2 linked regions of the Diceros bicornis minor genome follow. The protein of the gene in region 1 binds, or shares a complex with, the protein of each later gene. Links are inferred from orthologs where the notes say so. Each region holds a gene or a part of one and is shown in the gene's direction. Other genes may lie near its edges.

Region 1 (7,759 bases):
CTTCCTGTGTATCTCACAGGGTTGTAAAGACTAAATAAAAAGATTGAAGCAAAAGGGCTTTGTGAATTGCCAACTGCCATAGCAATCTGAGGGACGACTAATCAGCCTTGGTACAAACAGCCACACTAGAGTCAAACGCTAGCATTCACAGGGCACTAGGAAGCAGTTTACGTCCAACACCATCCAATCTGCAAACACAAACCCACAACAGAATATCTGCTGCTTACACGTTTATTAAAGCAGAACCACGAAGAGAATAAATGATCTTCCCTGCCCACCCCCAATATTCTGTTCAGAGTTAACTAGCTACTCTCTGATCCTTTAACCTAAATGAACCCAAACTTGACTCTTGGAAAAGGATTATCTGAAAGTGTTTTCCAGCCACCACAAGGAAAACCGCAGACACCTGCAGAGCACCATGGCCCTGACTCAGGGAACTCCTGACGTGTGAATCCAACGCCAGCGGTCATCCAAATCCCAGCGGTCGTGCAGGGCTGAGACAAGACAGTAACGTTCTGAAACTTGTTTCAGGAGAGAAAAATCAGGAAATAAAAGTAAGTGCTTTTTCTTTCTCCACACTCCTTAGGCTCGTACACCACTGCAGCTCTGTCCGGAACGACGCATCCTACTCAGGAGCCACCTTCCGGGGCAGGGCTGACGTGAGAATTGCACAGATGACCAAGTCAGACTGTGGGCTTAGCTGCTAGCTCAAGAGGGCAGACTGTGTCTTTGAGCAAACAGCACCAAGTCAGAATGTGCCTGTGAGGCCCAGGCAGGAGACAAAGTAACAATTACTCTACTGACACTCAGACTAGGAGCCTACTGCTTTGCAGCTCCAGGATACCTTTGGTGACGTGATACCTCTGCTGAAGGCTCCCTGACAGCAACTCTTTAATATCTGTATGCCAGAGCCTGGCACTCCACAGGCACTCAAAACGCCTCCTGAATTGGACTGATGGAATTATTTAGGTCCAAGCCCTGTGCAGCTGTTGAGAGGTATTCTTTTTTGAGGAAAATAAGGTTCAGGGAGAGTAAAAGCTGAAGTCAGCTAAAGAATCTCGTCTTTGATGTCACCCAGCCAGAACAGGGCTTCACCCTGGGCCAAAAGCGTACCTGCCACTGTTGCCCACAGCCACCTCTGTTCCCCTCAGACTGGCGCTCACAGACGTGCCCACACCCTTCCTGCCTCCTTTACCTGTCCCCAGGCATAGATGTCTCCTTCTCTCACTGGAGAAGTCACACCCATCCTCATGAACAGCCCTTGGACTCAAGGAAGCCAATCCCACCCCCCCGGCTCTTCTGAATTCCTTTGGACTCCAAACAGCACTGACAGTCCCCACCACTCGACTGAGCACTGAGCTACGGAGTGGCCTTCTGTTAGTCGTCATTGTTCCATACACCTCTCTTCTCTCCCCTGACACCAGAAAGCCCTTGAGGACCGGGACAGTTGTGAAATCCCAGCTCTCCCTCTTACCAGCTGAGCCATCCCTTCACTCCTTGAGCCTCAGATTCCTCATCTCTAAAGTGAGAAGGACAATAAAACCCACTTCACAGAGCAGCTGTAAGGAGCAAACAATGGCTGTAGAACTGCTGTGTGTAAGCTATCACTGCTGCATTTCATCATTAGCTCTGCGGTTGTTTTATTTCTGTATGCCCCTCCCTCCCATCAACCCCCAGCACATACTTTTAAAAGAATACTAACAATACTACATGTCAAGAAAGCCACTTTTACACTTTGTCACAACAGTACAGAATAGACATTAGTACCTCATTCTGTCCTCTAATCATTGATCAGAACTGAACTGACTGTGAAATGACCTAGGCCTTGCCTGCTGACTAAGTGGCAATGAGGAGGCTTCATTCCCTTTGTGGTCCAGTGTCTGTTATAAGGGATGGTGGATGCTGGGGCCTGGAAGGGTATTTTCCTTCACAGGTCACAGACAGGCCAGCTGTCCCTCATATCCTCTCCAGGGAGAAAATCCAGCCCTAACTTCATGATTCTGTGTGAGCAGTGACAGCCCCAGTTCACTGAGCCTCAGCTGTGTTCCAGGCACTGTGGTAAGAGTTGACACGCATCATCTCACTTAAGCCGCACTACTCTGTGAGTACCTATCAACCTCTCTCTCTCAGCAAACTAAGGCTCAGAAGGGTTACACAATCTTCTGGGGTCACACAGCCAACAAATGGACAAGGTAAGATTCAACTCAGGTCTTCCTGACAGAAGCATCATGCTCTTTCCATTCACTACATTCCCCTACATCCCTTATATTTGTATATTTTTAAATCCCCTTTAACTTCTACCCCTCATCAAATACCTTGGCATTTCAAAGGTGTAGAGCTTCCTACTGTAAAAGAGACAGAAAAGAAAAAAAAAATCCCCCAAGCTTACTGGCTCCCTCCAAAAACTGGTTGGAATTCAACACCCAACTGAGAAATTAGTTTTTGGAGTATGGCTGCAGTGAACGAACACCTGAGGAAAGGAAATGAGGAAGAAAGGGGCGTGAAAACCTAGAGGAACACGGGAGGTAGTCCACAGAGATGGGAAAAGACTCTTCCCAAGCCCAGTGTCCACCATCCCTTACCAAAGACGTTTCACCACAGAGAAAAGAAAGGCTCCCAAATGCCAGCTAGCCAACAGAAGAGACCTCAGTAATTTCACAGGCCCCACTCAAGGCTGAAACATAAGCTGGAAATTCATAAGTAAAGCAGAAAATAAACAAGTCACTTCTGCCCAAACCAGCCAGGCCCATAAGGACACCAAAGCTCCCTGCTGATAAAAGACCTTTTACCAGCCCCTCCACAAACCAGGAGGAACTCAGTTTTAAAAGAAACTAATCAACGTTCTTGACTGAGCACTTGGCATAAGCTCCTGCCTTGGGTGAAAAGGCAAGTTGCTTTTTCAGTAAGGAAATCTCATATGGTGGCCACACAGGTGTCCCTTCACTAGCCTTGGGCTTTCCTTACCCAGGATACTGGTCATCTCTGGTGCCCTCTTCCGGGGACCCAGAGCCCCCTATAGGATTAACAGGTACTGCCAAGTACCCCTCTCTCTACACTGCCACCAAAAGATTTCATCTTTGGCAAATTTAATGTAGCAAGAAAGCAACAGTCAATGTGCAGAGGTTGCTACAAGGACTATCAAAACTTGAGCATTTGAAGGGACCTACCACATCTCACCTCCAAACACCTCATTTGACAGACAGGAAAAACGTGAAGCCAGAAAGGGCAAGGTCATAGGGAGGATAACTGGCAAAGGCTCCACTGGAGCCCAGGCTTCCTGATTCCCAGTCCAGGGCTCTTATCATTGAATAGCACGGCCCCCCTTCTTCCCGGAGGCAGTGCAGGCATGCCAGCCCCCCTGCCAAGATCGTCACCCTCTAGGAACCCCTCCCCCTTCCCAGTCCCTCCTACGGCCTAGCCTAGCCGAGTTGCAGCTCTAATTAGCAAGTCTCAGGGCAGGGAGCGTTCTCTGGGAGGGTGCCCAGTCCGCGGGCTGCTGGTCTGAAAAGGAGGAGCAGGGATGCAGGGAGAGGCGTCTGGGAGAACCGGGTCCCGGCGGCAGTGGCAGCGAGACTGTCGGGCTGGACAAGGGCGCACGCAGTGGCATCTCCCAGGAGGCGCGGGGTAGGCCGACAGCGCGGGCACCACCTCCAGGAGCCGGGGGGAGCCGGGCCCCGAGGGGGAGGGCCGCGCGGAGCATCTCCAAGTCCCAGCTGGCCTCGGGGCGCCGCCTGGCAGGGTGGCACCGACGCCGTGAGCAGGCCCGGCCCGCCCGCGGGCAGGGGCCCGGCGACCAGGAGGTGGCCCCGGTGCCCGCAGAGGCCCGTGGTCCTCTCCGGCCCTGTCAGCCGCCGCCGTCGCCCAACCAGACGCCCTCCCTTCGCGCGGCCTTACCGAGGCACTGCCCCACCGGGGTGCTGAACGGGTTGCCCAGGAGGAACTCCATCTTGAGCGGTCAGCACGGCAGCCGTCCAGAGCCCTGTTAGCCGGCTGGTCTCCGCTGTACCCCGCCGCGCTCCCGACCTGACTGACACTTGCCCCCGCCCCACCCTCTAGAGCGCCGAACGCGCGGCCCCTGACCCCGCCCCCTTGTCGCGTCCCTATTGGGCAACGCCTGCCCTGCCCTCCTCCGATTGGGCCCTACGGCTTCCCGAGCGAAGCCCCACCTACCCCGCGCTGTCCGATTGGGCGGAGGAGTGAGCTCAGTCACAGGAACCTCCCTCAGGCGTAGTGACACCGCCCCTGGCCCGCCTCCGAACGAGAGTTTGTGCGCTTTGATTCCTTTATATATTGGTCAAGCTAGGGAATCCTTATGATTATTGGAGAACAGACGAGTCAATCACTCAAATAGGGGGCGGGGAAGAGGCGGGGCTAAGTATATCCCCGCCCGTAGAAAGTGCTGATTGGAGAAACATTTGTTTTCTCTCCGGCTGGTTGGTGGCAGGAGTATTCCCCCGCCCAGAAACGTGGTCACGTGCCCCCTCAACTTTCACTCAGGATGTCAATCTTCTGACTTCCCGTTAGCAACGGAGTGGTGGCGCTTGGTTTCCCTAGCAACCGGGCAAAGTGGCTGCTGCGTGGAACCAGCCCGGTAGCCCGCGCTTGAGAAGGTGAGATCCGAAGCTGAGGTTCCGGGAGGACTCGCAGGGGCAGACAGCGCCCCGACGTAATTCTCTGACCTTTTACTCCGAGAAGTGCGGCCGGCCCTTATCATCTGCAAAATGAGCACACAGATCCCCTGCCAGCCACTTTGCAGCGGCGCTGAGACAGTCAGAACGCTAGTACCCGGGCTTTCAGGCCTGCGGATGAGAAAAAAAGGCTAAGGAAGCATTTCCTTGGGGAGCAGGGCTCGAAGAGATGTTTAAGGGGTTCCATCTCCCAGCCTCCTGGCCTGATCCCTTTCGTAGAAACAAAGGTACCCGAAAGAAAGATCCACTGATAACTTCTTCAAGAATTTAATCCTCATATCCGACCTCTTAACTGTCGTTAAATTATTTCTCTTATTTTTATTCTTCATCTTGGTGCTGTATAAAGTGCTTTGGGTGGGAATATGGATACTCAAGTTCCATGTCTGTCTCTTGTCAGTAGTTCCTTGTATGACTGTGGACAATTTCCTTTCCCTTCCAGGTCTCAGTTTCCCCATCTGGGAAGTTAGGGCATTAGGACTCCCTTCTCTGATGGCGTCCGGAGCTGACAGGTAATTAAATGACACATGTGCACTTAGTACCCAGTAAGCACTCAGTAAATGGTTGATTTTCTTCTTATTAATTCATCGCCAATAGGGGCTATATTTTTCAGATCCAATTAATCCCAGGTTGTTTCCCAGGACAATTCTGGATCTGTTTCTCCTGAGGAGGCTACTCCACTGACAGTGATGTAAAACTCTCCACTGCCTTCCCCGTCTCCAACCTCTGATCTACAGTGACAACACTGTCCTCAGGCAAGTCAACAGGAACCCAGATTGGGTGGTAAATTACTGATAAAATCCTCTTAAGGGAAGAGAATTCGGGCCTTGGCCCTGACCCAGAACAGCTGTGAGAAACATTGTGACAATGTTAGAGCTGTGACAGTGACAGTCCACAGTACCCTGGGTACAGTTGAGTCATGGTTAAGAAATTGGGCTCTGGAGTCATGTTCTCCTGCCTCTGCCGTATACATGTGTAAACTTGTGCATGTTACTTAACCTTTCTAACTAGCTTCCATTTTCTTATCTGAAAACTGCAGATGATCAGTCCCGCATGTAAATTAAGTTCCTAGAGATCTCTCAAATCCACATCTTACCACCAACCACCCTGGGCATCTCTCACGTCACGACTCTTGCCATTCTCAGTACTACAGCCAGAGAGAGCTTCTTAAAATTAAAATCTGATCATGCCACTGCTCTTATTAAGGCCCAGGAGCTTCCCAGGGGTCCCAGGATAATAATTGAACTCCTGTCGACCTTTTCAACCTTGCGTTGCTTCAGCCAAAGTGGAACATGTCTTGTTCTCTCCCACCTCAGGGCCCTCACTATGCGATTCCCTTTCTTCTTTCCACTCCTCCTTCAGATCTCAGCCCCATCTCCTCCGGCCAGGCCAGGTGCCCCTAATGTATGCTGTCAGAGTTCCCTACACCTACAAACTTGTCACTGTTTGTAATTAAACATTTCTTTGATTATCTGATTCATGTCTGAAACAGAGGTAAGGAGATCTGTCTGTTTTATTCATAGTATGTAGTAGCTATTCATTACGTGTGTGGACTAAATAAATGATCTTAAACAAATGTAGGAAGGAGGAATTATTCATCTTTTACAGATGGGAAATCGAGGGCTTAGACAGGTGAAGTGAGTTGCCAAAGGATGCACAGTCAGGATCCAAATCCTGCCCTTGTGTGCATAACAGCTGTTCCATGTTGCATAGCCATTGTCGGGCTTGACTGAAGGCAAGCTTGATCTGTCACAGGTGCCAGGCCTTGACGACGTGGGAGGGATGAGAAGTCAAAGTTTTGAAATCAGAATTTAGAATCATTTCCCAAAGTGCAGCACCTTTCTTTAAAAAAACACAAACACTTTGCAGGTAACATCTGCCAAATGCAGCACAGTAAAATTTCCCCAAAGGCAAGCTATGGGAAATCTTGGAAAAATTTGTTTCAGAAGAGTAGGGAGATGGAGAGAGGCAGAGGACTGGAAACATCTTCAGGAGGTGAATCAATCACCCTAAGGAGATAGAGCCAGTGTTGACAGATTGGAGAGAATGGGAAGATGGAAGGCACAAGTGGAAAAGGGGTGTGGGGGGAGGGAGGAGGGTGTAGGTAGTGGGTAGGAGAGGCTGTGCCTCCTCTGGGGACAGAAAGAAAGGACACATAAGAGTTAAAGGCACTAGGACATTTGATTGTGGACAGTCCAGAAATGAAAGATGCATATGTGCATAAGCTGCATCCAAGTGGATGGTGGGGGAGGAGGGAGGGAGGGCAGCCAGGCAGTGGCAGTCTCTAAGACCAGGTGGCAGGATTGCCAGGCCCACCTGGGTTTGCGGTGGACACCATCAGTCCACCGCCAGGAGTCTCTCCAACAGCGCTCAGTAGAATAAAGAGCAGAACACAGGGGCTGCCCAGCATCAGGGACCAGAAGGCAGGAGGTTCAGGGAGGCCAGGATATTGGGGATGCACCTGGACAAAGGTAGAAGGTGAAGCCGGCAGGGAAGTGAGAAGCAGAGGTGGAAAGCAGAAGGGAGGACCTAGTTTCCACAGGGTGTAGGAGGCAGAATCTGGAAGTTTCCAGTAGACTGATAGGAGAGGGTGCCTTCCTGCAGCATCCAGCGCTTCTGGATGTTCTCATTAAGAGGGTTAGTGATGAGAATGATGTCAGGCACCCCAGCTTCCCAGGGCTGTGGCTTTGTCCAGCCAGGAATAGCAGCCCAGTGTCAGCCTCACAGTGTGAGTGAACAAGTCCACAGATTTCCCCTTTGCCTGTGGTATTTCAGCCAAATCCCCTTGGACCGTTAGCGACAGAAACCTACTGGAGTTAGTTTAAGTAAAAGAAGATTTAATGCGAGAAGTCAGGACACTCTCACAGGAGAGGAAGAAGCCCTCACAGGTCCTGGAATTAGGGACATTAGGGGCCAGAAAGCTAGCAAGGAGAAGGCAGTCTCTATGTCAGTCTGTCTGTCTTTTTGTCTTTTTTTTTACTGGATCCCATCTCTGCTTCTCTCTGTCTGCCTCATCCCTCTCTTGCTCTCTCTGCTTAACCACGTGCCTGGCCAGTCCACGGTCCCCCAGTTCC
Region 2 (8,175 bases), on another chromosome or scaffold:
GTTCCTTAACCTCTCTGTGGCTGATTCTTCCTCTGTAAACTGGAGATAATAACAATAACTCTCTCTTGAGGTTATATGATGAGATAATATATGCAAATACCACGGGCCAGCACTCACATTTACTAAAGACTTGTGGAGCAAAAAGGAGAAGCGGGAAAAGGAGAGGGAGGAGAGGAGAGGAGAGGAAAAAAGGGAGGAGGAGGAAGGGAAGGAACTTTGGAGTCAGACAGACCTGGGTTCAAATCTCTGCTCAACCACGTGCTTGGCTGTGTGACCTTGGGCAAGTTTCTTAACCTCTCTGACTTAGTATCCTCCTCTGTAAAATAGGGATAATACCGCCTACTTTGAAAAGGATCTTAGTGAAGGTAACAGATGAGAAAGAGCCTATCACTTAGCTTGAGAGCTCTAGGGCATTTAAGAAGTGTGCCTGAAATCAGAGCCACCGGTTTCTCAGCCCTGAATGGTGCTTAGAGAAAAATCTGGTTTACATTCTAACCTTCCTGGACCACCAGCTCTGCCGCCCTAGACAGGGTGAACGGCAGCGGAGAGGCCAGGCTACAGGGAGCCAGGCCGCCCGCGGCACTCCCATCTACAGGAACACTGCCCTCCTTCATCACTTCTGAGGGGAGGCTGCTGAGCTCCGGTACCCAACTGCGTTCTCTCCGGACAAAGGAGACGGCAGAGCCAGGCTCGTCTTTCCCCACACCCAGTGTCTTCACTTGTGAACTGGAGGAGGGCAATACCCCTCTGTCCTAGCTCCGGAGCACAGGGCGGGTGGAACACCCATTGGCTAAGAAGACCACAAAGCGCCAGTCCCTGCCATCTTAGGACCCTCCACAAAGGGCAAGTTATTTTAAGCCTCTCCTGGGCCCAAGGCCTGAGCAAATGAAGCAAACCGCTTCGGGACAAAGACCAGAAAGGTTTTTAAGGCCTCTCGTTCTGCCAGCAACACATTTAAAATTTTAAAAATTTAAAGCTCGCAACCTCTCTTGGGTTCCCTTTGTGCTAGGCTTTGGTTTAGAGGAAGACAAAGCAAAACCCCAAACCCTCAAATCAATGGATCCTGGCAAAGGCTTGCCCCTTTCCACCCCATTCTGGCAACGCAGGCACCAAGCTCCAACGGAAAGCAGCAGTCAACTCCACTCTCCTGCCAACGGTTTCAGGTTGGGGCAGACGGAGGCGGGTGTTGAAATCGGTTTCCTTTTTTAACAAGGAACTGGGCAGGGAAGTTCCTGGGCAAGGAACCTAGCCTGGGAGCAGGTTAACCTGAAGTCCCCGCCAAGCATCCCCGAACAAAGCCAGGGTACTCAGGTGCCAGGGAGGCAAGGCGCTGATGGGAGCGAGGGCCCCGGGAGGGCAGAGCAGCCCCCGGAAGCATCCAGAAGCTGGGATTAGGACCCCACAGTCTCCCAGTAGTTTGTGAGAACCTGGAGCCAAATGTGGGGTCAGGAATTAGGGTACACACATCTACTATCAGACCACCACGCCCACAACTCGCCCCTTGAAATAGAAAAGTTGCCCCCCACCAGCCCACCCCACGTCTTACTTCTGCTGGGCAGCTCCTCTCGGCCCAGGCTGTTGGACGGAGCCAGTGGGGCACTGCCACCCTCGTCCAGGGTCAGGATGAGGGGCACGTCGTCATCCAAACTCACAGCCATATGCTCTCTTCTCCTACAGCCCTCAGGATGCGATGTCCAGGGCTTCAAACAGCCTCTGCTTGGAGCTCCCTTTCAAAGCCACTGGCCCAGAGGTGCTTCTCAGAAACTCCTCCATTAGAGACATCTTCTAGACAATAAAAGATAGACAGGGATAAAGAGAGAGATACAGATGAAAAAGAAAGAGAGACAATTATCAGAATACAACCACTACTGATGAAAATGTTCTGGAATTAGATGGTGGCAATGGTTGCATAACCTTGTGAATATACTAAAGACCACTGAATTGCACCCTTTAAAATGGTGGATTTTATGATATGTGAATTATATCTCAAAAAAATAAAGAAAAATATTGCAATACAATAGCATTAAAATATGGGGAAAAACTCTGCACGAACAAAATCTGAAAGTTAGGGGTAATTATGTCTGGAGCTTCAGATTCTGGCTATGTTCCCCCTCCACCCACCTTACACTGGTGTTTTGAGTTTTGTAAAGATTTGAGACTTAAAAAAATACAACTGTTAAAATAATAGTAGCTAATACTCAGTGAGCACTTACTGTGTACCAGGTATTCTTACAGCAATTTTTAAGTAAAGCTGATTGAAACTTTATTAATAGACAGGTAGGATTATTATCCTCCATTACAGAGGGGGAGGAGACTTTAGGCTCAGAGAAGTTAAGTAACTTGCCCAAGAACCCACAGCTATAAAGTCAGGCTTTGAACTATGCAATCTGACTCCAGACCCGAGCTCCTAGCCACTACACTAGGATTCCTCCAAGTCCTAGCCCTGGCGTTCAGGCAGCACCTCGCCCCAATGACCCGTAAAGAGGCAGGGTGCCAGGTCATCTATGCTCGCCCACAGCCTTCTCATACAGGTGTTATTCTCCTCGATTTAGAAGCTTGAGGAGGGCCGGCCGTGGCTTAGCGGTTAAGTGCGCGCACTCTACTGCTGGCGGCCCGGGTTCGGATCCCGGGCGCGCACAGATGCACCGCTTCTCCGGCCATGCTGAGGCCGCGTCCCACGTGCAGCAACTGGAAGGATGTGCAGCTGTGACATACAACTATCTACTGGGGCTTTGGGGGGAAAAAATAAATAAATAAAAATCTTTAGAAGTTTGAGGAGGAGGGCGAAGAGAACAAGAGTGTTTTTTTAAATGATGTCCAGAGTCACACAGCAAAAGCGCTCATCCTGAACTCTCAACTGAAAACGCTCAGAACTAGGCAGTTACAGGTCCTATTTATACACATTCCCATTTCCGCTGAGGAGGGCCAAAAGAAAAGCAAAGACTCAGCAGATCTGATAGCAGACCTTTGACCTTGAAAACAGCAGCAGATTCCTTCCTCCAGCTGGACCCTTCTGGGCTTAGTCAACTTTGCCTCCCAACTCGCCCACTGAATGGCCACCTGGAAATTGACCTCTTCCACAAATCATCAGAATAACCCCAAGCAGACCCCTGTGCATCAACATCCTCTCAAAACAAGGTAGCAAAAGTGAGCACCATTCCCTTTACTGCTAAGCCTGCAGCTCTCAGCCCCGCAAACTTCCTGTGAGATTTTTTAACATTTCCTCCAGATCTGGGGACCTATTCTGCTTTTAAATCTCAGTTGTGGGGAGACAGAAGAGGAAACCCCAAATGAGACACTACCATTAGACTGTCTTAAGAATTACGTGTTTTGGGGCTTTTTTTTTTTTCTTGGTTTAACGTTCTACCACAGGTATTTTCAAACATACTCAGAAGTAGAGAGAATATGTAAATGAATTTCTTTGTATCCATCACTCAGCTTTGACAATTATCAATATCTTTGTCATTCTTTCTCGAATTTATTTTGAGGACAGGAGACTCTATTAACCGTCTGAACTCAAGAAGAGGTTTCTGATCATTATCATCATAACGGCTAGTGGCTTTCATTTTAACTGTTTAATATATAACTGCTTGTATGCATTGTCTTGGCCCTGTGGCTCTCAACTGGGGTGATTTTGTACTCTGGGAGACACTAGCAACATATGGAGACATTTTTGATTGTCACAACTTGGGGGTGGGGGGGTTAGAGGGAGAGGCCAGGAACCCAGCTGAACATCCTACAATGCACAGGTGAGTCCCACCACAACACAGAAACATGTGGCTGAGAACGTCAGTAGTGCTGCTGTTCAGAAATCCTATTTCATTAATATCCCCACTTTACAGATGAGGAAGCTGAGGCTTGGAGGAGATAACTCAACTTGCCTCTTGTAGGTAAACAGCAGGGAAGTGGTGGAGACCAGAGTCGAATCCGAACAGATGAATTCAGGGACCTTTCCCGGCTGGACCCTATACCGCCTCCCAGGAACAGGCTCCCAATTTGAATTCAAGCCCATCGTGTTACAGAGAGGGAAAAGTGAGGCCCAGAGGGGACAAGCCACTTGACCAAGGTCACACAGTGCAGGACTCCTGAGTCCCAGCCCCGTGTTCCTTCCGCGGGCTTTGCTTCTGGCTCTCTAGAGGACCCAGAAGGGAAGGGTCACCCCTGGGGACACGTCCCAGGAAAGAGGGCCAGCAGCCTGACCGGGGCACGAGTCTCTGGCGGGCTGGGTCGCCTGAGGGCGCCAGGAAGAGGAGCAGACGAGGGAGGAGGAGCGGGGAGAGAAGTGCGGGCTCCGGCTCCACGTGCTCCAGCCCCGGTCTGGGCCCCGCGTGGGGGTCGCCCCGGGAAGCCAGGGGGCGAGCAGAGGGGGTACAAAGCCCGGGCCCGGGCTGGAGGGAGAGAAGCCCAGCGATGACTTCCCCGCAGCCCCTCTGGGCCCGCCCAGCCCGCCTCCCACACCCCAGCGCCCAGCCGCAACCCCTTACTCCGCGCCCTCTGGCCCCTGACCCCTGCCCTCTCAGGCAGCCCAGCCCCCGTCCCACTCGGATTCTTACACGCGCCGCCCCAGCAACCCGGACCGCGCGCCAGGGTCCGCACCGCGCAGCCCAGCCCGCCGGCGCCGCCGCCGCCGCCAAAGCCGCGAGCCCGGAGCTCTTGCAGCCGCCGCCGTTTCAGCCGCTGCCACCACAGCAGCTGCGCCAGCTCTCGCGTCCACCTCCTACCGTCCCCTCAACTCCAGCGGCCCCGCCCCATTTCCCCTCCGCCACGGCCTATTGGCTACCTAGGCTGCCATGGTGAACTCTGATTGGCCAAGCCTCACGTCCTTCTCCAGTTCTCGCCCGCTGCCGAGGCAGGACTCCCTACCCGCCTCCTTGTAAAGGGGCGGGACAAAGAAGCCCCGCCCCTTCCCCTTCTGCGCTCCCCGCCTTACTCGTTCGGCCCAACCCAGAGGGCGTCCCGGGTCTTTCAATTGGTGGAGGGTCAGAGAGACGGTGCTCCTGATTGGTCAGGCCTCAGGAGGTGGGGCTAACTGGGCGGAACAAGGAATTGAATGGTGAAGAGGAAAGTCAGTCAGACGCCGAGTCCCGCCTTCCGAGGTGGGTAACCTAGCAACGCAGGTACCGCGGAGGTAACTGTGGGTAGAGAAACCAGGAGCTCTGCGAGCAGGTGAGTGACCAGGTGGGGAAGGGCTAGAGATGACGGGGAGATGTGGAATGGGGTCTACCCGCTATCCTTTGGCTCCCTGAAGAATCCGTAGCCCGCAAGGCGATCCTGTCCCCGCCCCAGGACCGTGCTCTCCAGCCCCTGCCTCTGTCTGGACCTCCCCCTCGACCGCCTGCGAGGACCACTGGACACCCTCTTCGGTGTCTCTGCCTCTCGCCTGCCCGTCCGCGTGTCCACTGCATGGTCCCGCTTCCTCGTCCGTAAAACGTGGGTGATACTAGTCAGATGGAGTCGCATCATAGTTAACTAATTTCAAGTCAAACATAGGTGGTGGGGGTGAGAGGGTAGTTTATAAGCCCCCTACCACTCTACCCAACGGCCAGACATTCTAGCATGAGCGTGCAGTGAAAGGCATCTCACTTGAGTGAGTGTTAAAGTTAGGTCATTTTGATTATACCAATTTTTGCCTTTAGAGTTTAACTCCCACCCTTGTCCTTAAAATGTGATTTTGTTGCACATACTTAAGACAAAGGGTTTGTTGTGAGGACTGAATGAGGTAAGGCAATGGAGAGCTTGGCATGGAGCCCAGCAACATAGTAAGTGCTCATTTAATAGTAGCAATTTTTTTCTAAAACTCACCCATCTTTGACTCTTCTGGCTTAAAACAATTCCAAGGGAGTTATCGTATTCCATATCTTACATATTCATATATTCAACAAGTATTTACTGAGTGCCTACTACTGGGTGCAAGGGTAGAGCAACCAATAAAAAACTTTATTTCTCCCCCCCATGGAGTTTGTCTAATGTGGGAGAGAGTCATTAGTCAAATAATATACAGATAAATGTAAAGTGACACCTGTGGAGATTCACTTCCAGAATGATGGAATGAGGAGGTTGACAAATCTTTTCCTCAAAAAGCAATTATAGTCCATCGATGGATGAATGGATAACTAAAATGTGGTATACGTACAATGGTATATTATTCAACTTTTAAAAGGAATGAAATTCTGATAAATGCTACAACATGGATGAACCTTGAAGACATATGCTGAGTGAAAGAAACCAGACACAAAAGTCATAGAGACAGAAAGTAGAATAGTGGTTGACAGGGGCTGGGGGGAGGGGGAAATGGAGAGTTAGTGTTTAATGGGTACAGAGTTTCAGTTTGGGATGATGAGAAAGTTCTGGAGATGGACAGTGGTGATGGTTGCACAAGATGCGAATGTAATGTTAATGCCACTGCACTGTACACCTAAAATGGTTACAATGGTAAACTTTATATGATGTATATTTTACCACAATAAAGAAAAAGCAACTATGAAGCTGAACAAAACTATCTAGCGCTATATTAGCACTCTGAAAATCAACCAAAGGCATACAACAAACAGAGCATTTATTCGTGAAAACTTCTGAGCCTTAAGTTTGTGATGCACTTACCTGGGGCTTCTCCAGTTTCCCCACCCCCAGTTCTATTTGCATAATAGTTCAACCAGGGCGAGTAGCCCATGAAAACCAGTCTGATGGGGCTCACTTGATTTGGAGCATTGTTGGCTAAACTGGCAGTCTTGGTGGCAAGAGATCAGGGAGAGCCAGCAGCTCCAGAAGTCCAAAGTTGCAGTCCTACTTGGGGACAACAGTGGCCTGACAGCTTAGAATCCTGGGAAGTGAGGCAGCCATAGGGGGCTTGATAAGCTCTCTACATATTCTGGTTGGCCAGGGCTTATGCACATGTGTAGTAGAGACTAGACCAGCCCAGGCCACTTACACATCCCTGGCCAGTGGAGCCTGTGTAGACGAGCAGAGGAGACACAGGGGGGTCCGGCAGAAACTAAGAGTCAAGGCAGACTTGAAAATGACCTGAACATTGACTGCACTCACCAGCAGAGAACAGAAGCCTTACTAGCTCAAAGTGTTAGAGCACAACCTCTGACCAATTTTTGGCTGAATATTAAGCTATGCAGATACAGGGGCGACCCCTAGGAAGCCAGGTTTAGAAATAAAAATGAGAAAAAAAATTGAACAGAGACATCAGTAACCGCACGTTGTGGAGGAGACCAACTCGACAGATTTAGTCCGGGAAGTAACTTAACAAACACCCAAGCAAAACAGTAACAAGGACGACAATCATTAGGAAGAAAAAAAGTTGAAATACAGAGTTGCTACAAATTTTATCTAAAATTTTCAGTAGTCAACAAAAATTGTGAGATGTGCAAAGAAACAAAGAAATGTAAATATCCTCAGGGAAAAAAGCAATCAATAGAAACTGTCTCTGTGTGTCCCCAGATGTCGGCTTTAGCAGACAAAGACTTCAAAGCAGCTATTATAAATACATTCAAAGAACTAAAGGAAACCATGTTTAAAGAATTAAAAAACAGTAGGATAACAATGACTCATCAAATAGAAAATATTTAGTGTTATTCTAAAATAGATTGTGATAATTAAGATGCACATTATAATCCCTAAATCAACCACTAAGAGAATAACTCAAAAAAATAGTTTAAAGATCAACAGAGGAATCAAAACAGTGGGCTAAAAAATATTTATTTAACACAATAAAAGGCAGTAAAGAAGTAACAGGGGAACAAAAAAAGACATGAAATGAGACAAATAAACAACAATAGCAAAATGGCAGATGTAAATCCAACCATATGAATAATTTTATGTAAGTTATTAAGTGTAAATGGAAAAAAACACTTCAATCAAAAGGCAGAGATTGTCAGACCAGATTAAAAAAGCAAGACCCAAATATATGCTTCCTGTAAGAGACACACCTTAGATTCAAAGACACAACTAAGTTGAAAGTAAAAAATTGAGGGGCCAGCCCCATGGCATAGTGGTTAAGTTTGGTGTGCTCCGCTTCAGCAGCCTGGGTTTGCAGGTTCGGATCCCAGGAGCAGACGTACTCCACTCATCAGCCATGCCATGGCGGTGACCCACATATAAAGTGGAGGAAGATTGGCACAGATGTTAACTCAGGGCTAATCTTCCTCAAGCAAAAAAAGAGGAAGATTG

Evidence for each region.
Region 2: DRC3 (region 1) and IQCD share a complex: the UniProt entries of both Homo sapiens proteins name them as parts of the nexin-dynein regulatory complex. The link is inferred for Diceros bicornis minor from reciprocal best matches to the Homo sapiens genes DRC3 and DRC10.

What each region holds. Positions count from the first base shown.
Region 1 is NC_080757.1:1,376,855-1,384,613, forward strand, and holds the start of DRC3 (dynein regulatory complex subunit 3), read left to right. Parts: upstream 1-4,659; 5' UTR 4,660-4,915; intron 4,916-5,127; 5' UTR 5,128-5,197; intron 5,198-5,326; 5' UTR 5,327-5,440; intron 5,441-7,759. Other genes in the region: TOM1L2 (TOM1-like protein 2), read right to left, coding at 3,895-3,946. UniProt on the Homo sapiens protein: Component of the nexin-dynein regulatory complex (N-DRC) a key regulator of ciliary/flagellar motility which maintains the alignment and integrity of the distal axoneme and regulates microtubule sliding in motile axonemes.
Region 2 is NC_080774.1:11,198,045-11,206,219, reverse strand, and holds the start of IQCD (dynein regulatory complex protein 10), read left to right. Parts: upstream 1-5,107; 5' UTR 5,108-5,166; intron 5,167-8,175. Other genes in the region: TPCN1 (two pore channel protein 1), read right to left, coding at 1,547-1,658. UniProt on the Homo sapiens protein: Component of the nexin-dynein regulatory complex (N-DRC), a key regulator of ciliary/flagellar motility which maintains the alignment and integrity of the distal axoneme and regulates microtubule sliding in motile axonemes.